Linked DNA regions of Rattus norvegicus. The protein of the gene in region 2 purifies or fractionates together with the protein of the main gene of each other region. This does not show direct contact. Links are inferred from orthologs where the notes say so. Each region holds a gene or a part of one and is shown on either strand. Other genes may lie near its edges.

Region 1 (5,785 bases), on a different chromosome or scaffold from region 2:
TTTATTTTAAAACCCCAGTTTTCTTTTTCTTAATGTGTTTTATTTTTCGAGTACAGGTGCTTGGTCTGCATATAAGTCTTGGATGCTGGATAGTGAACAAAGGTCCTCAGGTCCTCGGAAAGAGCAGGCAGTGATCTTAGCTATTCCCTTCTGTCTCACAAAAACAAAATCCCAGTGTGTGTGTGTGTGTGTGTGTGTGTGTGTGTGTGTGTGTGTGTGTATTCCTCTTCCCTATTTATTATTCCTTATAGTGTTTACTATGAATAATAAGATTGTGTTATTTGATGCATAGACTTCTCTTATTTTTTTTTAATTTATTTTATTTATTACATTAAGTACACTGTAGCTGTCTTCATGCACACCAGAAGAGGGCATCAGATCCCATTACAGATGGTTGTGAGCCACCATGTGGTTGCTGGGATTTGAACTCAGGACCTCTGGAAGAGCAGTCAGTGCTCTAAACCACTGAGCCATCTCTCCAGCCCCCTCTTATTTTTTTTTCCTGCAATCGGGACTGTGTTATAAAATGTCATTTTAAACTTTTGTCCAGAAATCAACCCGCACACATTGTTGCTATTTGATTTCTTTGTGTTTATCTGCCATAAACAGGTGCATTTCCCCAGTCTTGCATTTTCAGACTTTCAGAATTACTTAAATGCATTCTTATAAATCAGATTATAATGTTGGCGTGTTCACTCGTGCCAGGATTCACCTAATCCTCCACAGTTTCTGTGATGGCTGTTCCAGGTTGTCAACTTGACTACATCTGGAATGAACCACAACCCAGAAATGGAGGACACACCTGTGATCTGGATCTTGAGACTGGAAGACACAGGCTTCTGACTTGGATCTTGGCATGGAGATCATGAGACAGTGTCTATGAAAAGCTTAGGCCCAGGCAAGATAGTACATGCCTTTAATCCCAGGAGACTGAGGCAAGCAGTCCTGAGTTCAAGGCCAGTCTGGGACAAAGCAAGTTTTAGATCCAGGTGTAGAGCTTGAGGACATAAGACAATGGAAGAAGGAAGACTCAGTCTTCTTCTTCTTTGCCTGCTTGCACTTACTTGCCAGTACCTCTGTTGGGACCTCCTTCTTCAGATTGCAGCTTATAGAGAAGAGCGGCTTAAACGACCTACCTTGTGGGACTGAGCAACTACTAGACTCTTGGATTTCCCATTCACAGCTGCCCGTTGTTTGGTTAGTTGACTACAGACTGTCTGTCATTGCAATAAATTCATTTAATACATAGAGATATTCCATAAACTCTCTGATTATTGAAAACCCTGACTAATACAGTTTTATTAGCTTGATCTTTCTTCCTTTCTTTCTTTCTTTCTTTCTTTCTTTCTTTCTTTCTTTCTTTTCTTCTTCTCCTTCTCCTTCTCCTTCTCCTCCTTCTCCTTCTTTTTCTTTGTGGTTGTTGTTATTTTTCAAAATAGGGTTTCTGTGTAGTCCTGGCTGCTCTGGAACTCACTGTGTAGACACCAGCCTGTCTTCGAACTTAGAGACCAGTCTGTCTGCCTCTGCCTCCCGAGTGCGAGACTAAAGGCGTAGGTCACGACCACCCAGTTATAGGTTGAAATAAAATTTACCCATGGGAAAAAAACACGTTTACACAGAGCCCTGGTTTTTCTATAGTGTTTACATTCTTTCTCTGAAGACCCAGCTTCAATGCTATTCTGCAATATCTCGCCTTCAGAGTTGTATTTCCACCGTTTAGTATATAAAAGAGTGGTTGAGAATGAATAACTAGAGCTTAGGAAGGGATTCTCTTGGCTCCTGAACTCAAGGTCTGAAGGCACATGAATCTCGAAACCTTGTGCCAACGGCGCCATCTCTTGGCCGGCAGAGACGGGATGCAGTGTAGTCCTCCGGTCAGCAGGGTGCAGTGCGACCTGGGCAGTGCAGCTTTGCTTCCGCGAGTCGCACGCAGGCGCAGACGTGTACTCCCGGCAGCCCCCGCTCTCCTACCCCGCGCGGTGCATCACTTTGCGGACTCGGTGGAGGCTCGGTGCTGCGGCGGGCTCCGGCGGTGGGCGGGCTTCCGCGCAGGGCGGCCGGGCTCGGCGCTGCCGCCGCCGTGGCCCATGGGCACAGTCGTCTCGGAAGGCCGGGTGAGTGGCGCCGCGGCGGCCCTGGCAGGCGGTTCCGATCTGGAACGGAGACTCGGGTGAGCGCGCCTTCACGGATGCGCTGGACGCGAGGCCGCGGCTCTAGGCCGCGCCGTAAGGGGCGCGGGGATGCGGGCGCGGCACCCCGAGCTACCCGGGGGTTCCCAGCCCTCCACGGTAGGCTCCTTCAGCCTGCCATGCTCCCCTGGGCCGCCTAGATCTCCCCTCCACCTGTCGCGGTCCTCTTGACAGGAAGAACGTTCCTTTCTCCTCTTCATGGCCCATGTCCAGACCAAGGTGTTGAGTCGCTAGACCCCAGTAACCCAAGGTGCCTCGGGCCTCATGAACGGAGAGGCCAAAAACAAAAACAAACCCCCAAACTTGTTTCCTCCAGAGCACCTTAAGTGAGGGTAGAGGACGTTGTCTCACCTGGCTAGAGAGAGACAGTTGTAACCCCCGGCATGCTCAGGTCTGTGTTAAGGGAAGTTCATGTCCCTCCGCTAGCTTTTGAGCTTCTTCTACTTGGACCAGTTGCACTATGACTGCGTGCTTCAAGCTCAATGCTTCTCCAGGGGTTAGATCTCTTAAGAAGCGTGTTCGAAAACCCAGGGCTGGATTGATCCGAAGAACCAGAGTACAAGCTGGAAAGACCTGGAAGAGGAGCCGATGTTTATTCAGTTTAGAGGAGTTTTCTTACAAGGGCAGATCGGGAAAGGCTGCACCAATGAGGGAGTGGGGAAGCAACAGCCGAGGAGCGCTGTAGAGTATTCTGCAGTTTTAGACGGTGACAAGGGATGAAGAGGGGTTTAGAGGGGTGACCATCCATTGAGAAGTCAGGAAGGGAGGACCGTTGACATAAATTCTTATTGGTAAGGGTATATAAGGGTGGAAAGTATGGTTTTCTAGATGATTCCGCTTGTTCTCAGCATAGGTGAGGCCTGTCTCTCTGCAACAGGTGTCTTTTTTAGATCACGTGAGCACATTTATACTGGGATAAGCTGTAAGCATTTCGAGATAACAAAGTTTAGTAAATAAAGTAACCTAGCCCAGGGTAGCATATGCCTGGAACTCCAGTGCTTAGAAGGTGCAGGCAGATCAGGAGTTTTAGGACAAGTCACATGTGGAAAATACAGGAGTCATTTTTCTCCTACCGTATGGGTTCTCATTGACACCCCCCCCCATTTGTTATTACAAACCTCCCCTCCCCCCAACATGAATTTTTCACATATCCTTCCAACAGGGAACAGTTCACTCTAGTAGGTAATTCTACAAGTCAGAACAGTACAGAAATCTGCTCTGCCGTTGGCTTCAGTTACGAATTGCTCTGCTTTTGATAGGCTGTGGCCTATGGTATCTTGGTAATGTGGATGGGAAATTTAAACTGTTGGAGATAGTTACATGTGGAGGGGAATAAATGATTCTGTAAAATGTCATCCTTTTTTTAAGCCCTAAGTATAAGATAGAAATTGTGTTGTGGATCAAGCTAACAGGGGTAGACTTGTGATTGTGGCTACCTCCAGAATTTACTAAAACCCAGTGGCTGGCCACACTGGTGAGGGATTTTTTTGTGTGGTTTGTTTGTTTGTTTGTTTGTTTTGAGACAAGGTTTCTTTTTGTAACAATCTTGGCCCTCATGGGACTCAGAAATGGTTCTGAGCCACCATTACAGTTCAGTTGTTGGGAACTGAACTCAGCACCTCTGGAAAAGCAACCAGTACTCTTAACCACGGAGCCATCTCTCTACCACCTGGTTAATAACCATTAATAATGCCCCAAACAGAGATTGTCCATCTTACTTCATTATCTATTTTGTAACTGAAGGTTTTACTCTAGAGGACTGTTTTTAAAATAGTGCCTAGGAATAGTTTTGCAGGTTAGAAAGAACCTTGCACTTGTGACAGCAGGGACCGTGGTACAGCTATTTTAACAGAGATGTTCATAACTTGCTTCTGTTTTGCATTATTTAGTCTCTGCCCTTGCTTGTCTTTCAGTATTAAACCAAAAAGATGTCCCTATATGATGACCTGGGAGTGGAGACCAGTGACTCAAAAACTGAAGGCTGGTCCAAAAACTTCAAGCTTCTGCAGTCCCAGCTCCAGGTGAAGAAGGCAGCTCTCACTCAAGCCAAGGTAAAAGCAGGCCCAAGCAGGAGTGGGAAAGTCCACTGAGCTCCTTGAGAACAGCTTAGTTTAAGCTTGCCCCCTTGTTGGATAAATGCAAAATAGTGGATGGGGAGAGGGGTGGAGAGTTGATTACTTTACTTCTCTTGGCTCTTGGAACTAACAGGACAGTTTCATGGAGTAGGAATGAAACTCAGTCGCAAGACTGGCTTTAGACCGGAGGATGTCGGAGACTGACTTTGAACTGTTTTCAGATGATGCTTTCATACCGTGGTCCTAATATCCTCTGGCACTTCTGGTCTAGGCTGGGTCCCCCTAGTTTGTTGTAGGAAGCTTGGAATTGAGCTTTGCACGATAATCAGCGCCACAGTGTGCACCACGAAAGGCTCTGGTGTTTGTGAACATACCCAGCATGTGTAGTCATAGGTGGGAATTGCTCATCTGTGTTAGACATGGCATTGTCTTTAAAATTTCTTTGTTTCTATGTTTCTTTTTGACACAAGATCTCAATATTTGTCCTTGAGCTGTCTGTGTAGACCAAGGTGGCCTCAAATTCAGAGATGTGCCTGCCTCTGCCTCCCAAACTCTGGGATCAAAGGTGTGTACCACCACACCCAGCTGTGCAGATATTTTAATGTCAGCTATTAGCAATTGTCTTGAGATTGCACATAGATTTTAATCAGTCAGAATGGAACATTACTTTAAACCATCTGCTAACCTTCTGACATGAGTTTTGAGGACTATCATCTGTGTGGTTGATTTCTTATGAGGAAGTGAAGTTACATTGTATTGTTTCTCTTGGGCTCTTTGGTGAATTTCTCAGAGTACTAACCAAACTTTTAAAAATACTTGGTATGGAAAAATTTACCTGTATCTGAAAGGTGAAGGTTTGATTTCATTTGTATTTCATTTTTGAAAAATTAAATTTTAAAATGACTAAATAAGTGATTGACATAATGCCCATTATGGAAAGTTAGGGTTTATATTGTGGTTTTGTATATAATACCTTGATGATATGCTGTTTGCCTAGAGCACCATTAAAATCCAGAGAGCTCAGACTTCCTGATAAGAATGAAAGTTTGTACCACTTTAAATTTTAAAACCGAGAAGTTAAACTTTGGTGATCACCGTCAGTCCGTCCGCATGATCTGCCATGGCATCCTGGCAACCTGAGGATTTGGTGGTGTTCACCAGCTTGCTGTACGATATTCTTGTCTACTACCTTTAACCTCAACCTAAACAGGTTTTAGATCTGCTAGAACTTAGAGCTGTAAGTTAGGGAGACATATGTAGCAGCACTTGTAATAACAGTGTCCCAGAGAAAAACAAAGAAGATGGAGGTGGTGTGTGCTGAAGATTTGGAAATCAAAAGCACGTTTAGGAAACAGGGAGGGGTGGTGAGGCGGCTCGGTGAGTGACAACGCCTGATGACCCAAGTTGGATCCCTAGAACCCTATAGTGTAAGAAGAGACCCGGCCCTCACACATGCATGCACACCCAAGTATGCATGCATACAAACATACATATAGACAGGCAGACAGACAGATTGAATAA
Region 2 (5,912 bases):
GGTGGCTGCCCTCCAGAGCCTGGAGGCCCAGCATGGGGGTGTCCTAGGCCATGGGGGCCATGGTGGGCCAGCTGCATCTGGGACATCCCTATGAAAATAAAAACACAGGGACACAGGAGACAAAAGGAAACCAGGGCAAAGAAAACAAGAGAACAAAATAACGATGGTGAGATGGTGACAGAGAGGACACAAGCAAGGTGACACTGCTCTTACCCCTTCCTACAGTAAAACTCAGCCAGTTCTACACCATCTCCATTTTCCTTCCATGATTTTTTTTTTCAATCAATCTTTGTCTGAAGGTGACTGACAGCAGTGGCTAAAGTAGTCATGCTGCTAATATACCTCCAAGTTTATTTAGCACATCAGAAATGTGCTCTCATTTTCTTTCTCTGACTTAAGCTTAGAAGTGATGACAGCCAAGTATAAGACAAGCAGAACTTGGCTCTGTGTGTGATAGGACTTGGTGGCAGATAGATGCTGGGACAAAGGCCTAATTCTAAGGCCAGTAATAACTCCTTAGGAAGATCAGGCCTGATAGCGCACACCGTATTGCCCAGCATGCTAATGGTAAAGGCAGAAGGATCAGTAGGAACGGAGTACCTAGCAAAGTTGAGACCAGTTTGGGGTACATGAGACTGGTTAAAAAAAAAAAATTAAATTATGAGAAAAGAAAAGAAAATTTTAGTCTACCTTGGTAGTGCACACTTTTAATTCCAGCATTTAGGGAGGCAGAAGCATGTGGATCTATGTGACTTTAAGCTAGTTTGGTCTACAGAGAGTTGGAGGTCCACCAGGACTACACTGTAAACCCCACCCATCCAAAAGAGGAGTCCTTAAGAAGACAAGAGAGTAGGTGTCAAGAGAAGGTTTGACATGTGCAAACACCAAACACTGAACATGATAAAGCCCGAAAGCTCAGCCACCAGGAGGACCTGAACACTGGGCAGGGACAGTGAGCCCAGGTAGAATTTTAAGGACATGTCTACGAATACCTTGGAAAACTTACTCAGTGAAAGTAGATCAGATACAGAGACCTGAGTCACAGTGGCAGGAAGATTCCTACAGGAAGTGATGTGCAGTGCAGTCTAGAGCACTGGCTTGTGGCAAACAACAAAAACATAAGCTAGACTTGCTATGTAAAGTGGAAGACTGAACAGACAAACCCCCAGAGTTGTGGACTGGGCTCCTACAAGTGAGAGCCATTGAAGATGGTGTTGGAAAGAGAAAAGTAAACTGTGGGTTGAGCAGCAGCCTTTTCTAGTCTACCAAGAACCTCAGAACAGAGACCCAGAATAAATCATAACCTTCACATTTAACACTACAGATAAACACAGAAAAGAGAACCAAGCACGAAATCTACACATACATAAAAAAGGAATTGATCCAGGTTGCTAAAGTTGACATTAGAAAATCTAAAAATACATATGCCTTTAATCCCAGCACTTGGGAGGCAGAGGCAGGAGGATCCCTGAGTTTAAGGGTAACCTGGTCTACAGGGGGAGTTCCAGAACAGCAAGGTTTACACAGAGAAACCCTGTCTCGAAAAACCAAAAGCAGAAATGTCTTCTAGATTTGGCAACCTTGGAAGCAGAGGAGAGGTTGAGAGCTTTTGCCAAGCACAAGCTATAGGTGGAGATAACACAGGAGCACACCAACATGTACAAAGTATTGTTTGTTTTCTGAAGAAAAGGACTCTGGACTATTTCCACCCAAGACAAAGAGCACTGGGAGAAGCAGTACAAAGGCCCCTCTACAAGCTCAGCGCACTTACCTGGATGGGGCATCCCACCTGGTGGGAATGGATGAGGATGTGAATGTCCATGACCAGGATGTCCAGCCCCTGGAGTTCCTGCTGCTGGGGGACCATGTCCTCCAGCCCCAGGTGGCATAGGTGGTGGGGGCATTGCTGGGGGTATCCCAGGAGGAAGGGCCCCAGGAGGTGGCACTGGAGGTGGGAACGAACCAGGAGGTGGCATTCCTGTTTAAGAAATGAAGGACAATTAGTGGTATCGGACAGAATGTCTTTCCCAGCATGCTACACTCCAGCTTCCTAAGGACATGCACCAACTTCTTCCCTCCCACCAGCATCCTCACTCCTCCCTCACTGCCCACTGACTTCACAGCTTACTCTTCCAGGGCTTCCTCTGCCCCCTGACCTCCCTCCCATGGGCCTCACTGGCATAGTCTGAACTACAAGCTGTACCTGGTGGAGGAAGCCCAGAACCCAGGGATGAAACCACAGGATTGGGGGCAGAGGGTGGAGGGGGTGCATCGGCAAACAGCTGATGAGGGCGGTCAGCCTGAGACAGCGGGTTCTGGGCTGCCAGAAGTCGTTCAGCTGCTGAGCCATGTCGTTCACCCTTAGAGTCCTTCTTGAAGGCATAAGACACAGTGATAGGGCGGTTACACAGGTACTGCCCATTCATGGCCTCAATTGCTGCATCTGAAGCATCAAATGAAGCAAAATTAATGAAGGCGTAACCCTTGGAGTTGCCTGTGTCAGGGTCCCGCATAATCTTGGGGGTCTGTAAGATGACTCCAAAGGCGCTAAAAGTATCGTAAAGCAACTTCTCATCAATTTCTGGGTCCAGATTTCCAATGAAAATGTTGGCTCCTACATCCAGGTTTTTGTTGTGAGCCGAGGCTTTGTTCACCCGTATTGGCTTCCCATAGAGTTTGATCATGTTCATAATCTTAATGGCATAGTCAGCATCTTCCTCACTCAAGAATTCAACAAAGCCATAGCCTAGGAAACCAATGAAAAAAGACCACTCAGGTGAAGAGATTCAAAATCAAACATTAACTCACCAGTTTGCAAACACAAAGAACAAAGCAGGTAAGGGCTGGGTGGGGGCTCATGCTTCTAATGCCACCATGCTGGAGCAGAGGTGGAGCCCTGAGTTTGAGGCCAGCCTGGTCTACAGAGCATGTTCCAGGACAGCCAAGGACTACACAGAGAACCACTGTCTTGAAAATAAAACAATAAAAAGAACATGACAGAAGAATAATCTTACTTCACTTGAGAATGGTTCCAGTAACTAGTGCTAAGAGAAACTATTCCAAAAACTGAACTGAAGCTTAAGGGGGAAAAGAACCTTTAGGTTGCTCATTCCAAAGTAGTTGTGACTGGAGTTGTGACTCTTCAGGGGCCGTTAACGCTATACAGGGTTAATTCTCGACATGTACTCACCTTGGTGCTGGCCAGTGACTCTATCCTTTGGCATGTGGGTGTTGACCACTGGCCCTGCCTGGAGAAAGAGCTCCCATAGCAGTGGCTCGCTCACTTTCTCGTCTAGACCTCCCACGTACACCGTGGCATCTAAAGGGAAGAAGCAGGAGGTAAGGAGAGGGTCAAGAGTGAAAAGTAAAATAAAAACCAAAAACGTTAACTAAAGACCCGAAATTCCCTCAGCTTCCACAGTCTAGAAAAATCCGCTACGTCTAATTTGGCATTCTTGCTGATCCTGTATTTCCGGAGAATTTTGTCTTCTTGGTAGAGGAGTATTTAAAGAGAATGGATCTAGAAGCATCACTCTTCATAGGCCTGGGCCTCCACTTGGCCTCGAGGCGAGCCAGGCGCCCAGAGGTCGGTCTCACATCAGAGGGATCTCGTCTCCCACCCAAGCAGAAATGCTTCTGGCATTAATCAGCTCTTCACTTCCCTGCCCCTATCTTGGTCTCTTTTCTCCCAATTACCCTGATTCCGTTCGGAGATCGGTCCGGCAGCCATGGCGAAAGGGCTCCCGCCGTCTCTAAGCAGCAGCACCGCCCCCCTGACCTCAGTTTCTACTTCCACTTCCGGGCCAAGGCTCACATTGGGCGGGGCCGGCGACAAGGGAGGAGCCGGAAGCGATCGCGGCCATCTTAGGAGTCAGATTCGTGTCGGACAGAAGGGAAAGGTGCTCTGGAGCTGCCGCAGCAATCGGGGTGGAACAGAAGTGAATCAGCCGGTCTTGATACAGTTAACTAAAGCCCTGAATGCTTCCAGACTGTTAGGGCATCACACTGCACCCCAAGCGCAAATTGAAATGCTAAACCAAGCTTTGTATGTTCTGTGACGCAGAGACGTGTGCTAGGCAAAGTCCCGCCATATCCAGGGCCAGGACTGCCTTTGAAAACAGCCTATTTTTAATTCGGTCCACAACGCTCGTGCAGATTCGCCCTCGGCCTAGGCTTGAGCTCGAGGTATTTTGGTTTCCCGTAAGTGTCAGAGCTCCTCCAATCTTGGGAAATTTGAGACCGAGGGTGCTCACAGGCAGGTATTGAAGCTTTAAGAGGCAGGTGTGGATCTCTGAGCTAAAGGCTAGCCAGGTCTACAGAACGAGATCCAGGACAGCCATGGCCTCACAGAAAAATCTGTCTCGGAAAAAAAAAAAAAAAAATTCCAGGCTAGCCTGATATACAGAGAGACCTTGTCTCAAAAAAGGTGTGTGTGCGTATGTGTGTGTGGGGCGGGGGGGCTTTCCCAATATTTCATGTGCATTCTGCCCAGCCCTGCCAATCCTTTATTTCCTTACAATAATAAGTGTCCTTTTCTCAGTTCACACTACCCCACAACCACCACCGCTTTGCTGAGATCTTCATTCAATACAAGAAAATACCAGCAATGTGTAGAAATACTGTGCTTTAATGAACTCCTTAAATAGAAATGCTGCTACAAAAATATACAGTGGGAGGAGGAGGTGTCTCCCTTATTCACCTCATTCCCACAGAAGACTAAGAAAAGATTTCAATGTAGTGTTGAGGGGTTGAGAATGAGGTCTCTAGGACACCTTGCTGGGGCTGATGAAAAGGGTCTCTGATATCATACTTTTGACAACCATCCAAATGGCACAGAATTGCCTCGAAAAAAGGCAATCATTCTGAATTGGTTTTGTTTCTTATTTTTCAAATCACAAGAAACAAAAATAGCTCCAGGAACCAAACGAGACAGGAGAGCTGGAGGTTGGTAGCACCATCTACAGAAACTGGCCTACTAAGTGAGCTTTACAGACTGGAATACCAAACCCGAAGCACCAAGGTCAGACATAAACATCAGCAGAAACAAACCCCCGCCCTCTGCCCTGCCTTTGAGATGGCTAGCAGTTTCAGCAGATCTGAGAAAGGATAGTATTTGGATCTCTTTTCTTGCTGTGGTCCTCCGGAGATATTCTTGGTGTCCATTTTCTTAATAGTTCCTGAAGATGAGACAGCTCATCTTGAAGGCCAGAGATTGTGAGAGCTGAAGAGCCTATCTGGGGAGAGGCAAAGGAAGGTGCAAAGAGAGATTGTCACAGGTCTAGTTCCTTTTTCTTTTTTCTTTTTCTTTTTTTCTCAGGTTTGTCTGTTTTTATTTTCAAGACTGGGGTTTCTCTGTGTAGCCCTGGCTATCCTAGAACTAACTCTGTAGACCAGGCTGGTCTCAAACTCAGAGACCCAGTTGCTCCTGCCTCTTGAGAGCTAGGATTAAAGGTGTGTCCCACAACTCCCTGGCTAGTTTTCTAGTAAGATCCTTGGTACTTTAAAGTCTTAAATGTTCTTTCCCCTTCTAATAGTGCTCTAGATTCTACGTGCTCCAAAGTCACAGGCAGTTCCCACCGCCTGCCATCCCAAGTGGACCCGATTTGATAAATGGAATACTACTCCCCAATTACTCCAGCCCTTTGCCTTCTCAGCTCTTTCTCCCCCATCCAATCTGTCTTCCCTTCTCACCTGGACCTCCGGCCTTCCCCTCAGGTAACAGCGTTTCCAGAACCTGATCTGTGGTCCCAAATATCCAGGCAGCAGTAGCCCAGGAGGTAAAGGGCAGGCTCCCCAATGTGAGGGGAGCCCCCATTCCTGGTCAGCTAGGCTTTCAGAGGATCTAGCCGGTCGAGGGAGCCAATGAGAAGAGACTGTCAGCAAGGAAGTGCTGTCTTGCCAAGGACAGAGCT
Region 3 (5,799 bases), about 8.2 Mb from region 2:
TAATTCTATTTTTCCCATCTACTCCATTTTTTTTTTCTTTTCTTTTTTTCGGAGCTGGGGACCAAACCCAGGGCCTTGCGCTTCCTAGGCAAGCGCTCTACCACTGAGCTAAATCCCCAACCCCCCATCCACTCCATTTTAAAGCCAGTACACCTTACAACACTTGTTTTTAAGTCCTTCAGATGTTCAAGTCCAAATACAAACCTTATTTTTCTGCTATTATTATTATTTTTTTTTGAAACAGGTCTTATATAAATTGCAGGCTGACCTGAACTTGCTAGGTAGCTGAGGATGACTGAATCTTATCCTCCTGCCTCTTCTTCTTCTGGACTTGGAATTATAGGTGTGCAGTCCACCCTGACATATGAAATACTCTGGTCTATGCAGGCCAGGCAAGCACTCTACAAGGAAGCTACAACAGCAGCCAGAGTGCTCATCATTTACATTAAAACAGATAAAGGCCGGGTGGTGGTAGCCCTCATCGCTACCTCATTGAGACAGAGGCAAGGCAGATCTCTGTTAGTTCAAGGCCAGCCTGGTCTACAGAGTGAGTTCCAGAACAGGCAAAGGCTACACAAAGAAACCCTGTGTTCTCTTCTCTTCTCTTCTCTTCTCTCTCTCTCTCTCTCTCTCTCTCTCTCTCTCTCTCTCACACACACACACACAGAGAGAGAGAGAGAGAGAGAGAGAGAGAGAGAATGCTCAGCAGTAAGAGTGTTTGCTACTGTTGCAGAGGAACCAGACTGATCCCTAGCACGCCCATGGTAGCTCACAACCTCTGACAAACCTCTTCTATCCTCCAAAGGTACCAAGCATGCAGGTGGTGAACATATAATATATGTATGTATATATGTATGTATGTATGTATATATATATATATATACTGCAAGCACTTTATACATACACAAAAAAATTAAAAAAAAAAAAAATCCAGATGGGGGGTTGGGGATTTAGCTCAGCGGTAGAGCACTTGCCTAGCAAGCGCAAGGCCCTGGGTTCAGTCCCCAGCTCCGAAAAAAAAAAAAAAAGAGCTGCCCCTGATAAAAAAAAAAAAAAAGCCAGATGGCAATGGTGGCACACACTCAGGAGGCAGAGGCAAGTGGGTTTCTGAGTTCCAGGATAGCCAGGGCTACAGAGAAAAGCCCTGTTTAAAAATCCAAACATAAATGAAGAAAGAAAGAAACTAATTATAATCTACCATGTAGTATAATATACACATTGAGCACTCTGGAGGCAGAGGCAGGCAGATCTCTGAGTTCCAGGCCAGCCAAGGTTTTATACACACACACACACATACACACACACACACACACACACACACGCAATGTCTCAAAGTAAATAAATAAGTCCTAAAAATATTTTTTTTTAAAAAAAAGGTATTTTCTAGGGTTGGGGATTTAGCTCAGTGGTAAAGCGCTTGCCCAGCAAGCACAAGGCCCTGGGTTCGGTCCCCAGCTCCGAAAAAAAAGAAAAAAAAAAAAAAGTATTTTCTAGACAAATATTACAATCAAACTGTAAAGAAAGTATCTTCCCTGCCTTGCTTACACTCTTTTCTAAGTTTTGTTCTTATTGAGACGGTTCATTTGTAGCCCAGGCTGGCCCTGAACACTAACAATGGTCCTATTGCTGGGGTTTCCATTGCTGGTATCACAAAAGGACTTCATTCTCTTTAAGACTGGCTGGGCTGGTGAACTGGCTTGTTTTTAATATGTATTTATGTATATGCGAGTGCCACAGTGTGTGTATATGCATCCTGTGTGCAAGAGCCTGTGGAAGTCAACAGAGACGTAAGAGCCTTGGAAATCAGAGTTACAGACAGATGTGCACTATGTACGATGTAAGAACCGGGAAAAACTTGTGTCCTCTGCTAGAGCCATGTTAGACCTGTAGTTATAGCTCTAAGTAGATTGCAATATATAATAAATACAATAATAAAATAAAACCAGTTAATGGGGTATACATGTAGCATGTTCACATCTCTAGCACTCAAACTAAGTAAATAAAAACTTACAGCAGGGGGGCTGGAGAGATGGCTCAGTGGTTAGGAGCACTACTGCTCTTCCAGAGGTGCTGAGCTCAATTCCCAGCAACTACATGGTGGCTCACAACTGTCTGTAATGGGATCTGATGCCCTCTTCTGGTGTGTCTGAAGACGGCTACAGTGTACTTATATATAATAAATAAATAAATCTTAAAAAAAAAAAAAACTTACAGCAGATGAATGCCTGTAATTCTAGCATTCAGGAGGCTGAGGCAGGAAGATGATGAATTTGCAGTCAGCTTGGTATACATAGAGTTCCAGGCCAGCCAATCATACAGAAGACCCACTCTCAAAGAACAGATCCATTCTTGAATCCTACTCCAAACAGTATCTAACGTCATTAACAAGGATTCTGGGCTTCTACACCTGTAAGTGAGCAGTAGCCAGTCAAGTTCTCCAAAGCCAAAATACTCACCAAATAGAAATCAAAGGGGATGTGGGGCACAAAAGGCCTGAACCTGAAACATGAAAACAATCCAAAATTATTCAGGCAGAAAGCAAGCAAGAGAATTCTGTCTTAAGAATTCAGGCATTTCTGGGGTTGGGGATTTAGCTCAGTGGTAGAGCGCTTGCCTAGGAAGCGCAAGGCCCTGGGTTCCGGTCCCCAGCTCCGAAAAAAAAAAGAATTCAGGCATTTCTAAGCTGCATCATTCTTAGCAAAAAGCCAAATTCACTTTGTAGGACATGAGGAAAAGAAATGCTTCGAGTGGTTTTCACAAAATCAAACAGAACAATCTACTCCAAACTCCTATCTACTGAAACAAACCAAGGCAAAGACGTGAACAGCCACACTCACCCTCCTCCAGGACCTCCTCTGGAACCAAAGCGCCCACCACGACCACGTCCTCTGTCACCCCTAAAAGTACATACATTTTACTCTCATGTTGCTGAAAAAGGTTTCCATCACACCATCAATGTTATTTCAATGTGACTTACCCTGACCCCCCTCCAACTACTGAAGTCGACAGATATATCATGCTCACTTCTCCCCGATTCCAAATGATGTCCAGTCCCACTCTCATGACATCCTAATTCTGGACTTTTTTTTCTTCTGTTTTTGAAACGGAATCTCATGTATCTCCTGCATTACCTCCCCCCACCCCAAGACTGCATCCTGAGCCACCACACCCCACTTCTAATTCAGGATTTTATCAAAACTCACATCAGGAAAATACGAGTTTCAGAACCTGACATACATACCCCTACTAAGTAACCCACGATCCTGAGGCACACGGGTCGTAATATTCAGGGTAAGGTGACTTCTCATTTATTAATACAGCATACCAGTTACGAGACATGTCCAATTGGTCAAACACTAGGCACCAGAAAAATGTGCAGCGCTCCAGCCTGCTCACTGCGCACGGAGGGTGATCTTCCTGGTCCGTTAAGACCTCTCCTCCATCCCCCGAGACCCAGGAATCAACACAACTGCCCTGCTGGGGCCCGGCCCCCCTCCAGGCCCGATTCCCCGAGTCGGCCAGCCTCCTCCTACTCCACTCTCTCCGGCCCGGCTTTCCGCCGGCCGCCCAGATACAGGCCCTTCTTCCCCCGACTCCATTTCAGCCTGCTCCCCAACTCCAACCCCCCATCCCTCGAGGCTACGGCAGGAACTTTCAAGCACCCTGTCTACTTACCTCATGGCTCGCTTAATCCTGAACAATGGAGACCACTCAACCGCTCTTCGCTTGGAAGAATCAAGGTAACAGAGAAACGTCGGGTCGGCGTGTCCCAACAAACGCCTGCGCGATAGGCTCCCGCCTCACTCCGTCCCGTGCGTTTATTGGTTAACCCAGCAACCAATGGAAATGCTCTGTAAAGGAGTCAACCAATAAGAAGACATACCAGGGACAGAGGCAATTTCCCCCACTTACAGTAGAGGGCGTTCAGAATTTGAGGCTGTAAGCAGGTAAAGTCTTCTATGGTAATACAAGCATAGCCTACCAGTAGGTAGCAGAGTGGCGCAGCGGAAGCGTGCTGGGCCCATAACCCAGAGGTCGATGGATCGAAACCATCCTCTGCTATCGGAGACTTTGTTTTTCTTTTTACGGGTGAAAATACAATTAAATTTTTCCATAGCAAGAGATGTGGGGTTTTTTTTCCTTCTCCAACTTTTTTTTCCAGACAGCGTCTTGCTTTGTCACCCTAGTTTACATAATACTCGTTAATGTAGCCTGAGCTGTCATCAAACTCTTAGCAATCTCTGCCGTGTGCCGCCTCACTTGAAAACATAACTTTTACCTTACGGAAATATCAGAAATAGTTCCATTTCCCACCATTTTTTCCCTCAATATCATTACTGTTATATGATTCTTTTTTATTGAAAATTGTCATACAATTTTTCTTGATCATGTATTTCTCTTCCCCAGTTCCACCCAGATCCTCCCTCCCCACTTCCCTATGCTAGGTGATTCTGACAAGTATTGATGTATTATTTACTTTTGTAGGCATCTATTCCTTCTAAGTAACCTCATTAAAATAAGGAATACTTTATCAGGTCGGCAAGGTGAGTCGGCAGGTACAATCGCAACTACCTGAGTTCGACCTCTGGAGACTCAGTGATGGAAGGTGAGCCGCGATCTGCATTTTGTCCTCCGACCTCACTATGAATGCCGTGGGTGTGGTGACACCCACAAACACAACATAAATAAATGTAACGGAAAAAAATTTAAAGGATATTTTGGTAAACATGGTGGAGCATGTCTTTAATTCCCGCACCTGGGAGGCAGCGGCAGGAGAATCTCTGTGAGTTCAAGGTCAGACTATTCTAGGTAACCAGTCCATGCCAAGTAAGTCTACATAGGGAGATCCTGCCTCACAAAAACAGTATTTTATCATCTCAGAAAGATAACCATACTGGATTTCTACTATCGTGGGTTAGGTTTGCCTTTAGATTTTCTTTTTATTGGGGCTCGATCAGAGATGACTCAGCAGTTCTTTTTTTCGGAGCTGGGGACCGAACCCAGGGCTTTGCGCTTCGCTTCCTAGGCAAGCGCTCTACCACTGAGCTAAATCCCCAACCCTAAGTTCAGTCAATCTCTAAAGTCCTCTAGGGGATTGTATTCACAAGCACGTATACATATACACACATAACTTAACATAAAATAAATCCTTAAACCGGACCTTGTCGTGCAGGCCTTTAATCCCAGCACTGGGGAGGCAGAGGCAGGCAGATCTCTGAATTCAAGACTGGCCTTGATCTACAGAGAAAGTTCCAGGACAACCAGGGCTGCACAGAGAAACCCTACCTCAAAAAAACAAACAAACAAACAAATTAATAATAATAATAATAATAATAATAACAACAACAACAAAAACAACAGTAGTTTGTTTATTTAGGGACTGGAGAGATGGCCCAGCAGTTAAGAGCACTTGTTATGTTGCTCTTGCAGAGGACCAAGAAGCGTCAATTCCCTTCATCCATACAGTGGCTCACAACTGTCTGTACTCCAGTTCCAGGGGGTGGAATGTAGTTCTCTGACATCCACAGACATCAGGCATTCACATGGTACACAGACATATATGGGAGCAAAACATTTGTACACATAAAATAAGTAAATCTAAAACATATTTTAAGCTGTTGCAAAAAGTAAAGTTTATTCATTACTGTGTGTGCGTGATTTGAGGTGGGGAGAATGTGCCATAGCCAAGTCCAGTTGAGTCTTCTACCTTTTCAAGGGTCCTCAGGATCTACTCCACATAATCTCTGTGTAAACTTTGCCTGGAACTTGCTACACAGACCGAATTAGTTAGCCTAATAC
Region 4 (5,684 bases), on a different chromosome or scaffold from region 2:
TAACTGTGTCTAGCTTGTTCTCTCTTCAATCTGTCTCTGTAAAACTCTCCTGGTAAAACTGACTCTTCCTCTTCCTCCTCCTCCTCACCCTCTTCCTCCTCCTTCCTCCCCTTGTCTCTGGACTGCCCTCTTCAGTAGCTTCCCTTTTCTCTCTCTTCTCGTGAGAGTTGGGCATATCCTATTCTGTCAAATCTTCTTCTGATTCATCACTTTGTCTGCCACTCAATTAGACATCACTTCCAAATGGGTGATTCTTTCTTCCAACTAATGTTACTTCATTGTTTGGGATTAAAGTGTGTACTCAAGGCATGTCTATATTCCAGCCAGAAGGATTAAAGCTGTGTGTGTATGTGCTAAAGCTGAGGTACACCAAACTAGAAACAGCTTTTTCCCCCCAGTAAACAACACAGTCTCTGGGTTTACAGTGTGCTCAAATATCCTGCAACAACCAGGAAAGCCCCTTCCCCTTCATTCCTTGCCAGACCCTATTTCAATTCTTGCTTTCTCCGACATTCACAAAACCATTGAGGAAAGCTTGCAGTGACTACTCATGGATACAAAAATGTGTTCATTCTTTATACATGAACCTGGAAAACAGCACAGAAACCACTGACACTGAGTTGTCATTGGACAATTTCTTCCTTGCTGTGTAAAAGGTATAGTAGCCATGATTCAAGCTTTGATAGAAAAGGTGTGGAGTTTCTTTAAATCTCTATTTTCTTCCCAGGTGGAATGTCCTTGCATGTTTATAAATTTTCTTTTTAAAAATAGCTATGACCTCTCGGCCAGATCAGTTTATGTCACACAGGCAGGTTATATCTTATTTCAGCGCTCTCCTTGTAATGAAGCACCAGCAATCAACTGCTCAGATCTTCTCGTTGCTTAGAAATTATTTTATATTTACTTGATGTTCTTTTGGTAAAAACACACTCAATATTCAATATTTACAAAAACCAGACTGGTTTCTTTATCTACACAATTAAAGGACACTTTTCTGTGGTTGTTTAACATTATTTCCTACCCACATTTACAGGATTTTCATTGGCTATCACATTTGATTTAGTATGGCCTAATTTTCACGAAACTTCATTCATTCATTCATTCATCCATTTATTGAGTGTAAGTCATTCTCCTAATTCAGTGAGCAAAGGGGATAAAAATGACTACTCTAAAAACACTATTTCCGTCCTGCAACTTCATGTGGCTTTCAAATATTAGAACACTCAAGCTGATAAAATCAACTGATTTGGTCCCTGACCCAATTTTTAGCCTAGAAAAATCCAGGCATTTTGTGAGGATAAGGTGGGAGAGAGGGCGGGAGTTAACCGTTTCTAAATGAGTTTAGGCATGTGATCCTTAGTTTGCTTTCTCCTGAAATCTGGTGAGAGTACCAGCAAAGACTCACGAATCTCTTTGCTCTAGGGTCGAAGACTGGGCTGCATCTAAGGTGCAATCTGTAGAGTGCTGGAGTGTTCTTTCAGACTCCCATTGATTGACTTCAGGGAGTGACAATGGCAATTCTACAGCTGGTATTAAGCCAAGTTGGGCAGAACCCATAGAAAGGCTTGACTAAGTTGCCGCTGGAGACACGCTCCTGTAAAATTTTTCACATCATAAAGTTGGGAAACTTCAAAGTTTCAGTAATGGAAACGATGCCCTACCCTTCCCTTCTCTGCCTTCACTCCTTGACCGCTGTATCCTAAGTTGATCCCACCCAGTTCTTCCCCTTTCCACTATAACCTCCAGGCTACGGGAATGCGCATGCGCAGAAAGATTCTGCCGCTGGCGACCCTGGCGAGGAGATCTCGATTGAATCGGTGCTCGGCTCTTCGACTTATCTGAGTTCGATTGAGGAGTGTGGCGGTCCTCTTCCGGCGCTGGGAGCCTCTTCCGGCTTTAGCTTCAAGCGGACCGCGCCGGCTTCAGGTGGGTTTGCCGGGGTCTTCCTTGCTGTGGCTGGTCTCGGCCTTTGGTGGGATCTGTCCCGTCCGGACTGAGCCAGCCAGAGCGAAGGTGTCGTTGGTTGCGCGGTTCCGGGCTCCGCGGACGCATGGAAGGAAGGGACGGCGACCCTAGGGCTGGCGGGTTAAGGCCCGGCGTCGTATCCTGTTCTCTGCGGGATGGTTGGATTTTTAATGTCCGAGGACCCTAGTGTTGGGCAGATCAGCAGGTGTTTAAAGAGGCTCGAGCTGACATAGAAATTAGCCCAAGGAGAGAAAATAGCACGTTGCTTGCTTGGAGGCGGGGCAGGGTGTACAGTTCTTTGTGCACTCTCAGTCTCCCTCCGACCGCCGGCAGCCTTTTGGGTTTCAGGTGCCCGCAGGAGCTAATGCCAGAGCCTTTGTTCTTGTCCCTCAGGTGAGACACCAGCCCTTCTCCAGGTTCCCATTTGGGAGGCAAACCTTTGATAAACGTTACTTATCCGTTACCTACATAGTGCAGGCCCTTCCTGTAAGTAACACTCTGATGTTCAGAACAGCTTGTTGTATGACATTGGACACTTGCGTCCTTTAACGTGTAATAGCCATCGATAATAAATAGTAACTTTAGGTGCTTACTGACGCAGACTGCTAGATGTCTGTCTCATAATCTTATGGGCTTCATTTTATAGGCGCAGTTAGTATCCATAATTTGTAACTGAGGACTTGAGACATTAAGGAACTTGCCCCACCTCGAAGCAGGTTGTAAAAGCATAGACAGAACTTGAATCTGTATATTATTGGTACAAGAATATGAGTTCTGAATTATCTTTCTAAACTGTCCATTGAGTTACCTATCTGTCTGTCTGTCTGTCTATCTACACACACATAAATAGATTTGAGGGCTGTCGAGATGGCTTGGCAGGCCTTCTTGATTTTTGCTACTTGACCTTGCCCACTTTGAGTTTGGCTCTTGTGACTCACATAGTGGACGAAGAGACAGAAGTGAAAGCCCCTGAAGAGACAGAAGTGAAAGCCCCTGAAAGGTTGTTCTCTGACCTCACCATACACGATGGCACTAGTAAACACATACATACACACACACACACACACACACACACACACACACACACACACACACTAAACGTTTCAATAAATACATTCGTGAGTGAATCCATGAACTGTGTTTTAATTTGTATTGTTTTATTACAATTTTTTTAAACTACGTGTGTGTTTACTGATCTTTTATAAAATGTTCAACTCATTTTACTGAAAAACTTTTCTGGTGAATATGATCAAAATACATCGTATGACATTCTCAAAGAATTAGTAAGTATACTTTAAAAAGTTACTTCATTCTGTAGATGAAAGGGCAATATCATTTAAGTGGGGCTTAAGAAAGAATAACCTGAATAATGTTTCTAACTCTGCCTATGTGCTGACAGATTCTACCAATTTGTAGAATCTTGGTATTGTTCTACCAGGCTTTGATCTTGGGAGCTATTTTCCATTTGTCTAAAAGAGATGGTTATGAAGTTAGGGAGGAATTACTGTCTACTTCAGCTGACGTTTTCTGATGTCAGTGGTGGAAAAATAATGGATCGGCTAATAGTTGTTGGTTTTGGCTATGCCATAACCTGCATGATTTAACCCTCCTTGCTAATAATAGGTTATTTATTATTTCTTTTAGGCTACTTGAAGAGTTTTACCCAAACATGGATATCAGACCAAATCACACGATTTATATCAACAACATGAATGACAAAATTAAAAAAGAAGGTATGTTCTTTTAAAAACCGCTTTTTCACAACTAACATGCGGTTATTCACTTGTGTCTTAGGAATGGTCTCAGTGTCTCCTTTAGTCATCTTGGTGTTCAACAATGGTTTATCCCATTTTTACACACTTTTAAGAATTTTTAATATAAGAATTTGCAGGGATTGTGTGTTTTGAATGTTTTAATTCACAAGTGGCTTCAAATAACTTTTCTTTTCTTTTCTTTTTTTTTTTTTTTTTTTTTTTTTTTTTGGAGCTGGGGACCGCCTTGAACCCAAGCGCTCTACCACTGAGCTAAATCCCCAACCGGCTTCAAATAACTTTTAATTGGGTAGCCAATGGGAGTAGTGTGTTTTTGCTAAGTCAGTATAAATAAATGAATGGTAAGGGTGCTCATTGTATTGTTATTTTATGAAGAACTTAATTCTTGTTTCCTTCACAAAATGTTTTCTTTCTTGTTTGTACAGAATTGAAGAGATCCCTGTATGCCCTGTTTTCTCAGTTTGGACATGTGGTAGATATTGTGGCTTTAAAGACCATGAAGATGAGAGGGCAGGCTTTTGTTATATTTAAGGAACTGGGCTCATCCACAAATGCTTTGAGACAGTTACAAGGATTTCCATTTTATGGTAAACCAATGGTGAGCTGATCCTATTATTTCTACTGTAGTCATTATTGACCGGTCAATAGATTTTTTTTTTTTTAAGTGAAGAGTTAATACTAAGTTATTGCTTTCTGTGTGTTTGATTTTGTTTGTTTGTTTGTTTGTTTAGAGATTTTAGGGATATTTTGTAGCTATTTTATTTGTTTTGAGAAAGGGTCTCTGGTACCCTAGGCTAGCCTTTAACTTGTTATATTGCCAGGGCTTAATCCTTTAGACTCTACTCCCCAAGTGCTGGGATGATAGGAGTGCACCACCACACAAGGTTTATATGAATATTGTTATAAATACACACTACTACAGCTGAATTAACTGTTAATTTATTCTAGTTAAAATGAGCAAAGCTAAAATATATTATGATTTATATCATTGAAAAATAAGGTAACAATACAAGTAAAATTCTTTTAAAAAATGAGAAATTAAGGTAGTCATGGTGTTACATGCGCGTATTCTCAGCTCTTGGGAGGAGAGGCAGGAGGATCAGAAGTTCAAGGAGATCCCAGGGTATATAAGGCTTCGTCTCAAAGAATCAAGTGGAAAGGCTGGTCCAGAGGGCATGAGGTCCCTGGGTGTAAGACTCAGTGACAGAGGATTGGAAATGAGTTGAACACATGTCTTAAGTGTGAGTACATACATTGTATCTTGAGTATGGATTCATACTGCCTTTCTGCTAGGATTGGAAAATTGTGTAATGAGGCCTTGGAGAGCCAAGGCCTGTGGTTTAGAGGATCTGAATCCTCATTCTGGTTTTGCCATTGGCAGATTCTGTCCTTCTGTTCACACTCACCACCCTACAATATGAGCAAATTGAATCTTTGGATTAAATTGGGGATCCAAAGGACTAGAATAGACACTTCAAGCTTTGCTGACCACATAAAGTTTCTGATACTTATTGTTTTGTTTGTGTGTTTTTAACCTTTTAAAAATGTGTTAAAAATTATTAACTCGCAGGCTGCACAAAAACTGGTCATAATCTGGATTTGGCCTTCTGTCTAGCCCTTGTATGTCATGGAGAAAGATAGGGCATGAGGCTAATCTTGTCCATTTAGGGTGCATTCCTATAGCCAGTGCATCAGCACTTGGACACCAATCTTATTAAAACATCTAAGGTTGTGCTTTTCTGTATGCTAGGAGGGAACATATTTTTAATACGGTCAGGCAGTAAGATTGCAGGCCTCACTAGCCAGATGCTCTTCTGTGGTAGCCCTTCTCTTAGATAGCAAGAAAATCAGGAAAAACAGTAAATACACAGAGAATGGGAGTGGGGGTGCTCCAGCCAACCCCATACTGTGAGCTGGCACACTACAGCGGAGCCCTTGTGCTGTATC

The links. The genes of interacting proteins can lie anywhere in the genome.
Region 1: the proteins of Sf3b4 (region 2) and Rbm17 purify together in Homo sapiens (affinity purification with mass spectrometry; 4 studies listed by BioGRID and IntAct, with this or other methods). This does not show direct contact. The link is inferred for Rattus norvegicus from reciprocal best matches to the Homo sapiens genes SF3B4 and RBM17.
Region 3: the proteins of Sf3b4 (region 2) and Ilf2 fractionate together in Homo sapiens (co-fractionation; 3 studies listed by BioGRID, with this or other methods). This does not show direct contact. The link is inferred for Rattus norvegicus from reciprocal best matches to the Homo sapiens genes SF3B4 and ILF2.
Region 4: the proteins of Sf3b4 (region 2) and Snrpb2 purify together in Homo sapiens (affinity purification with mass spectrometry; 4 studies listed by BioGRID and IntAct, with this or other methods). This does not show direct contact. The link is inferred for Rattus norvegicus from reciprocal best matches to the Homo sapiens genes SF3B4 and SNRPB2.

The regions. Positions count from the first base shown.
Region 1 is NC_086035.1:71,844,942-71,850,726, forward strand, and holds the start of Rbm17 (splicing factor 45), read left to right. Parts: upstream 1-1,999; 5' UTR 2,000-2,114; exon of another isoform or gene 2,115-2,174; intron 2,175-4,102; 5' UTR 4,103-4,117; coding exon 4,118-4,240; intron 4,241-5,785. UniProt on the Homo sapiens protein: Splice factor that binds to the single-stranded 3'AG at the exon/intron border and promotes its utilization in the second catalytic step. Involved in the regulation of alternative splicing and the utilization of cryptic splice sites.
Region 2 is NC_086020.1:186,419,722-186,425,633, reverse strand, and holds the start of Sf3b4 (splicing factor 3B subunit 4), read right to left. Parts: upstream 3,968-5,912; 5' UTR 3,731-3,967; coding exon 3,697-3,730; intron 3,320-3,696; coding exon 3,191-3,319; intron 2,747-3,190; coding exon 2,204-2,746; intron 1,979-2,203; coding exon 1,772-1,978; intron 89-1,771; coding exon 1-88. Other genes in the region: Mtmr11 (myotubularin-related protein 11), read right to left, coding at 5,088-5,234, 5,692-5,912. UniProt on the Homo sapiens protein: Component of the 17S U2 SnRNP complex of the spliceosome, a large ribonucleoprotein complex that removes introns from transcribed pre-mRNAs.
Region 3 is NC_086020.1:178,254,914-178,260,712, reverse strand, and holds the start of Ilf2 (interleukin enhancer-binding factor 2), read right to left. Parts: upstream 3,787-5,799; 5' UTR 3,681-3,786; coding exon 3,676-3,680; intron 2,898-3,675; coding exon 2,838-2,897; intron 2,500-2,837; coding exon 2,457-2,499; intron 1-2,456. UniProt on the Homo sapiens protein: Chromatin-interacting protein that forms a stable heterodimer with interleukin enhancer-binding factor 3/ILF3 and plays a role in several biological processes including transcription, innate immunity or cell growth.
Region 4 is NC_086021.1:150,850,936-150,856,619, forward strand, and holds the start of Snrpb2 (U2 small nuclear ribonucleoprotein B''), read left to right. Parts: upstream 1-1,898; 5' UTR 1,899-1,926; exon of another isoform or gene 1,927-2,329; coding exon of another isoform or gene 2,330-2,358; exon of another isoform or gene 2,359-2,451; intron 2,452-3,609; coding exon of another isoform or gene 3,610-3,634; coding exon 3,635-3,698; intron 3,699-4,162; coding exon 4,163-4,335; intron 4,336-5,684. UniProt on the Homo sapiens protein: Involved in pre-mRNA splicing as component of the spliceosome. Associated with sn-RNP U2, where it contributes to the binding of stem loop IV of U2 snRNA.